2 linked regions of the Cricetulus griseus genome follow. The protein of the gene in region 1 interacts with the protein of each later gene in a pairwise test. Links are inferred from orthologs where the notes say so. Each region holds a gene or a part of one and is shown in the gene's direction. Other genes may lie near its edges.

Region 1 (4,383 bases):
ACACCAGTTCCACAACACAATTCGAGACACTCCTTCCTTTTACACTGGAATTCAACGAATACAAATCTCAAAAACATTAAGGACTGCAAATCATTGAAAGTGTGCACGGCCATTAAGAAGTAGTAAAATTTGAATGACTCCATAGCAAGGGGGAAATATATATATATATATATATATATATATATATTTATTTATTTATTTTTAAAGAGAACATATGGACTTGTTTCAAAACTCAAAGGATATAAAAAGAACTACATGTTAGGAAAAGCGTCTTTCCTACCCGGTCATCTTTCCTAGAGAAATTCTGTCTTCCTCCACAGACGCGGATATGGTAGAGTAGCTAGCTAACCCTGAGCAGTCGGACCAGGTGCTAGGAAACCCTCTGATCGCTTTACGTGACATCCTCACAAAACCCCGAGGCGACGACCTATGGTCTACTTTAAAGGAGTAGTCACAGCCATACAAAGCACCAAATACACTTAACCTTGTATACTCCAGAGTGTCCAGCAATCTGCGCTTTTTAAGCATAACACATCCGGGAAGACTCTTGTTCACATATCTGGACAGTGTTCCATTTAATGTGAATGTAGCTATTAATAATAAATGATAGGCCAGTGGCCAGATGACAGTGTTTTTTTGTTTGTTTGTTTGTTTGCTTGCTCTGGTTGGTTGGTGGTTACTTCCTGGGACAGGGTCTGACTTTGTAGCCCAGATTAGACAAGGCTGTAACTTGCCGCGGTCCTCCTGCCTCTCCCTCCCAAGTGTGGGAGGCATACAGGAGTGCCCGCAAGATTGCAGCTGCTGAAACGGGCGTGGGAATGCCCCGCAGAGGGTGGCGCCTCCCGAACTCCAGTCCCAGCTATCTCGTCAGACTCCGCCCACGACCCCCACTTGCAGGGATCTATCGAGTCTCCAGCAAGTTCTAGGGCTACAGGGGCCGGAAGTGTTTGAGGACGCTGAGCGGGCCCGCCCCTCAGCTTCCGGCACTGCTATTGGGAGTGCCTTCTGCAGGCGTCCGTGCCTGGTCGGTAGGATGGCGCTAGGCCGCTGCGGTTGTAGCACGGAGAGCAGGGTGCTGCTCCACGTCCTCGCTGCCCTCCGCCATCTGTCCCCGCTGGCGGGGCATGGGGGCTTCTTCCGCTTTGTACGCGTTCCCCGCCGCCAGTCATCACAGAGATGCGGACCTCCGCCGTCCTAGCCCTCCCGCCCTGTTCCCGCGTGTCCGCTAGAGCGTCTCCTCCTCGTTTCCGGTTGCCCTGGAGTCCGGGGCGGGGCGTGGGAGAAGGGGGGCGTAGCACAACCTCGGAGGGAACTCGTGAGTTTAGGTCGTGTGGAGACGCCGGAAGCGTCGGGAGGGAGGCCGGAAGCTGGGGGGCGGGGCCAGGAAGTGAGGAGGGGCGGGGGTTTATGAGGAGGCCGGGGGAGCGTTGGGGCAGATTTGCACTCAGGTCCACCTGAGATACTTGTCGGTGGTGCTCACCTCAGTCCCCTCCCCTCTCTGAGACGCGATTGTCGTCTAGGGGTAGGGGACTGTGTGTGCAGCGGTGGGCTGGTCGGGAGGACATTCCTCCGGCCTCGCCGCAGGCAAGGTGTGGGGAAGCAGGGCTTGGGGTGGGGACGGGTCTCCTGGGCTTCTGAGAAGGAAGACCCCCCCGCCCCCCCTCGGCCCCCACCACACTTCTACACTGGCTGACTGGACACTAAGATGGCTGCCGTTGCCATGACACCCAACCCTGTGCAGACCCTTCAGGAGGAGGCGGTGTGCGCCATCTGCCTCGATTACTTCACGGACCCCGTGTCCATCGGCTGCGGGCACAACTTCTGCCGAGTGTGTGTAACCCAGTTGTGGGGCGGGGAGGATGAGGAGGACAGGGATGAGTTGGATCGGGAGGAGGAGGAGGAGGTCGGAGAGGAGGAAGAAGTGGAGGCTGTCGGAGCAGGCGGGGGTTGGGACACCCCCATGCGGGATGAAGATTATGAGGGTGACATGGAGGAGGAGGCCGAGGAGGAAGAGGAGGGTGTGTTCTGGAGTAGTGGTATAGGCGGGTCCAACTGGGACAACATGGACTATGTGTGGGAGGAAGAGGAGGAGGAGGAAGATCTGGACTATTACTTGGGAGATGTGGAGGACCTGAGGGGGGAAGATGAGGACGAGGAGGAGGAAGTGCTGGAGGAAGATGAGGAAGAGGAGCTAGATCCGATCACCCAACTGCCGCCACCTCCAGCCCCTCGGAGGTGCTTCACTTGTCCCCAGTGCCGAAAAAGTTTTCCTCGGCGGAGCTTCCGCCCCAACCTGCAGTTGGCCAACATGGTCCAGGTGATTCGTCAGATGCATCCAACCCCTGGTCGAGGGAGTCGTGTGAATGAACAAGGCATCTGTCCGAGACACCAAGAAGCCCTGAAATTGTTCTGTGAGGTGGATGAAGAAGCCATCTGTGTGGTGTGCCGAGAATCCAGGAGCCACAAACAGCATAGTGTGGTGCCATTGGAAGAGGTGGTGCAGGAGTACAAGGTGAGTGAACTAAGCAAGGCAAGAGTTTAGTAAGGGTAGGGAGGAAATAGAGGACATCGGGCAAAGGGAATGTGGGTTCTCTTACAGGACCTCATGTCCTGCAGAAATGATTCTCCCTGTCCAAGCACTGACTTCCAAGGTCGATAAATTACAAGGATCCTGAGACTTCCTCTGTGGCTTAAGGATAGGAGTGCAAGTGACAGAGAGTGCATTCATCCTTCTGGATGGATCTTAAGTCTTATCCATGACAGAGTCACTTCCAGATGGAAAGAAATGGGACCAAAAAGAACAAGGGAGTCTGAAACAGGAGCATAGAAATAACTAGTGTCAGACCCAAATACTCTGCACTTGTTTCCTAACGGGTTCCACACCCATCCTATGATACAGATTTGCTGGTTGGCTCAGCACCCAGTCTCATGTATTAACCAGAAAGGAGGGTTTTAGGGTAAAAATCTTGTGTCTTTAAACTTTTTTTTTGTTTTTGTTATTTTTTTGAGACAGGATTTCTCTGTGTAGCTTTGGAGCCTATCCTGGCACTCACTCAGTAGTAGACCAGGCTGGCCTTGAACTCACAGGAATCTGCCTGCCTGTGCCTCTGGAGTGCTGGGATTAAAGGTGTGCCTACCCGGCTTCACTTTGAACTTTAATTATTACAGGAGTTAATATTTATAGGGCACTTCACATATAGTCAGTACTGTGCAGGTCACTTTTTGTGGATTATCATTCATAATTCAAAGTCACCATGTGAGTTTGATGTTTGCCATTCTCATTTTATTGATTGGGAAACAGGGTTAAATTCTGAACATGGATGTTTATGTATATACAGCTTTAATAAGTGATAGACTTGGATATGAACATCTTCCTCTTGGGGCTCCTAGGTAACACTACTTGGATATTTTAGTTTGACTTTTTTTTTTTTTTTTTTCTCGAGACAGGGTTTCTCTGTGTAGCTTTGGAGCCTCTCCTGGAACTCACTCAGTAGACCAGGCTGGCCTTGAACTCACAGAGATCTGCCTGCCTCTGCCTCTGCTTCCCAAGTGCTGGGATTAAAGGCATCCGCCACCAACGCCTGGCCTAGTTTGACTTTTCTGATGTGACTGTTCTAGGAATCTAATTCTTGTTTGGTTAACTGGCTTGTTCTTTATTTCTCTAATTCTTTGGACATATGTAAAGGACATGTGTCTGTGAAGCAGCCAGCACAGATAGAACTATCTTCAGATTTGAAGCCATAGAATCAGGAGGAGAGGGTAGCCTCCTCTGTATGGCTGCCCAGAGCTTTGTTTGTGACTAATGTTTCTATGCCTCCTCCTAATTCAGTCAGTAACTTCATTTAGGTGATCATCACCTCCTCAACTTTAGAGTCTAAGGCTTCACAGCTGATTGTCAGTTATTTGAGGAGATGTCAAAAGTACAGTGGGCCTTACTGCAGAAGTTCTGAATTAGAGTATCTATAGAATAGTCATCCTAAAATGGGCATGATAGTGCAAGCTTTTTATCCCAACACTTGGGGAAATAGAGGCAGGAAGAACAGTTCAAGGTCATCCTTGATGTAGCAAGATAGAGGCTAGCTCAAGATACATGAGACCTGAGGGCAAGAAACCCTTTTTGTTTCTTGTTTGTTTGTTTGTTTGTTTGTTTTTTCCTGGACAGGGTTTCTCTGTGTAATAGACCTGGATATCCTGGAACTCATTTGTAGACCAGGCTGACCTCAAACTGACCTGCCTCTGCCTCCTGAGTGCTGGGATTAAAGACATGAACCACCACTGCCTGCTTATGTTTATATGTATGTTTTGTTTTTAAATTACTTTAGTTCTGGTTTTAGGAGGCAGATTTTCCCATATCCCTTTCTGTCCTGGAACTCTCTGTGTAGA
Region 2 (2,741 bases), on another chromosome or scaffold:
AGAGCTACCGCCGCTCTGAGATCAGGGTTTGTTTAGATTTGGTAGCTGTTTGAGCACAAGACAAGCATCTGTCTTGGTGACAAGACAGATGAGCCATTAGAGCACGTGAGCCAAACTAAGGTCTCTGTGGCACTTGGAGAAAAGAGGAAGCTGAGATTTAGAATGAAGCTGACAGACAGAGACCAAGTTGCTGGCTCATGCCTGCTGTTTGGCACCTCCTGTGAGGTTCAGGCCAGTTGGGGCTACAGAGTGTCAGACCATGTTTGAGGGAGGGGTAGAAGGAGAGTGGGACCTAGGCATTGGTTTTGGAGTGTACTGCATAGGGTCAGTTTCTGAAAACTGTGGCCTGGGGACTATAAGAAGGCAGGGAGCCTACCCCCTACCCCGTGATCTGCAGTGTTCCTCTGCCACGGAGCTACATCCCTAGCCCTTTTTCAGTGACATGGGCCTTACTAAATTACCTGGGCTGGCCTGGAGTTGGTGATCCTTCTGCCTTAGCTTGGAGTAGCTGGGAATGGGCAGGGAATATACTTGCCTAACACATGAGCCTAGTGCTGGGGGCAGGTGGGATCTAAACCAAGTAGCTGGGATACATCACAGGCTTCTGCCACCTGCCTAGGCTGAAAGGTAAGGAAGCCATTCACTGGGGAGAGCCTCCTGCTGGGAACAGAGCTAGCAGTAATGTCCTGGGCTTGGAGTAAGCGTGACTAGTGTGAGGGGTGAGGGCAGACAAGGACTTCAGAGCAAGGCCAGTGAGGGGCTGGCTAGTTCACTCAGGCCGCCCATGTCCTCCTTGTGTGAAATAGGAAGCACTGGAGGACTGAGCCAAGAGGTAATGAGGGCTGCCTTATCTCCAAAGGCTTCTGAAGTCAGTAGAACTGGCTGGCGAGACAGGTAGGGAGCCAGGGACCTAGCGGTGACTCACGGGACCCCAAGAGCTGCTGCAGCCAGTGTGCTATCAGTGAGAGGAAGGGAGCAGAATCTGGGCATAGTGTTTTACATTTGTTTATTTATTTACTCATGGGGTGGGGGTGGAAGTCAGAGCACAACTTGTGGGAGTGGTTTTTCTGTCACCACGTGGGTCTCAGGGATTGAACTTGGATCCTCTGGCTTGGCAGCCAAGTGCTTTTGTGCACTGAGCCATATCACCTGTCTGTCTGCCTGCCTGCCTGCCTGCCTACCATGTGGCTGAACGTGGAGCTCACAGGGAGGAGGTTGGTGCCAACCAGGCTGTGCCAGTCAGCTAGCTCTAAAGCACCCATGGAATGAGGCTGGTGCAAGTAGGGCTGGCTGCCGGTCCCCACCTGTCCCGCCATGGCTGTTTCTTCTCTTCCTGAGGGTCTCTACACTGGAGGGGATTTCTGATCTTTCCACTGCATGTCCAACTTGGGGGTCACTGAGCCTTCTTGGTGAGCCCTGGCTGGCCTCAGGACACCTATGCCCCAGCATAGGTCTGTATCAGGAGTGGGAGGGCTCCCGAGCGCCCGAGAGGCGGGACAGCCTCTTGGCCCCCCGCAACGCTGTGGCCTCTCTTCTTGGCAGGAAACACACCGGGGAGAAACCCTTTGAGTGTCCCAAATGTGGGAAGTGTTACTTTCGCAAGGAGAACCTCTTGGAGCATGAAGCCCGGAATTGCATGAACCGCTCAGAACAGGTACTTGGGAATTGGGCCAAGTAATTGTGGGCAGCAGCCCAGTGACCGACCTGTGTCCTCGTGCCATCTGGGAAGGACCCCCAGGAAATGCTACAGGGTTATAAAATAGGAGCTGCAGGGGCCTTGGATGCCATCACATCCACATTCTAGTACAAGGGGACACTTGTTCAGAGGGCACAGGGGATAAGCCCTGGGGGGATGTTTTGGGTTAGCTCCATCTTGGGCTTTGGAGCAAGGAAAGTGTTTGTGGGGGTGGCTGCTGGGAGGGGCTGCCTTGCATGCCCCCCTGCCACAGGTGGGTAGTGTTTGGCTAAACCCCACCCTTCTCTTCCTAGAGACAGTAGCAGCTGCCCCCTCCCCCACCTGTGTGGAGATGAGAAGGGTCTGGTGTGTGGTTGTGGACAGTGCTCTGTGATGGTTAAGGCAGGCAGGTTACATGTTGCCCTCTCCTACCCCAGCATCCCTTACCCCAGGCAGACACTTCCCAGCAGCGTGTGGAAGCCCCTGCAGAGGCTGCCGTCGCAGGCAGAGGCCCTCGCTGATGCTGGCCCTGCTTGCCCCTCACACTGCCAGGTCTTCACATGCTCCGTGTGCCGGGAGACCTTCCGCAGGAGGATGGAGCTGCGGGTGCACATGGTGTCTCACACGGGGGAAATGCCCTACAAGGTCAGGCCGAGGTCACCGCCTGGGTGGGGATGTGGGTCCCTTTGCCTAGGGTGGTATCTGGCACCTCTCCCTCGAAGCCTGCCTCCCTTGTCCATCCAGTGACACCGTATAGACAGGGACACTTCTCTAGCCACCCGTGCTCAACATTTCTCTGGGCCTGGAGTGATGGCTGAGCATTGCCCCTCTAGGGAGTCCCCCTTCAGCAGACTGGGGACTGTCCTGGCATTTGGGTTAGGCCCTTCTTCACCATGACCTGACAGCAAGGCACTGATGGTGCAGGGTGCTGAGGCTGACTGGGCCTCTTGTTTCAGTGCTCCTCCTGCTCCCAGCAGTTCATGCAGAAGAAGGACTTGCAGAGTCACATGATCAAGCTGCACGGAGCCCCCAAGCCCCATGCAGTAAGTGCCAGGCGGGGCTGGGG

The links.
Region 2: the proteins of Trim41 (region 1) and Zbtb48 interact in binary tests that used the Homo sapiens proteins (3 or more experiments, as listed by UniProt). The two-hybrid records come from large-scale screens. The link is inferred for Cricetulus griseus from reciprocal best matches to the Homo sapiens genes TRIM41 and ZBTB48.

Annotation. Positions count from the first base shown.
Region 1 is NC_048600.1:63,472,496-63,476,878, reverse strand, and holds the start of Trim41 (E3 ubiquitin-protein ligase TRIM41), read left to right. Parts: upstream 1-1,396; 5' UTR 1,397-1,705; coding exon 1,706-2,512; intron 2,513-4,383.
Region 2 is NC_048595.1:4,334,044-4,336,784, forward strand, and holds part of Zbtb48 (telomere zinc finger-associated protein), read left to right. Parts: intron 1-1,542; coding exon 1,543-1,654; intron 1,655-2,227; coding exon 2,228-2,320; intron 2,321-2,631; coding exon 2,632-2,718; intron 2,719-2,741. UniProt on the Homo sapiens protein: Plays a critical role in transcriptional regulation and chromatin remodeling. Acts as a regulator of telomere length. Directly binds the telomeric double-stranded 5'-TTAGGG-3' repeat.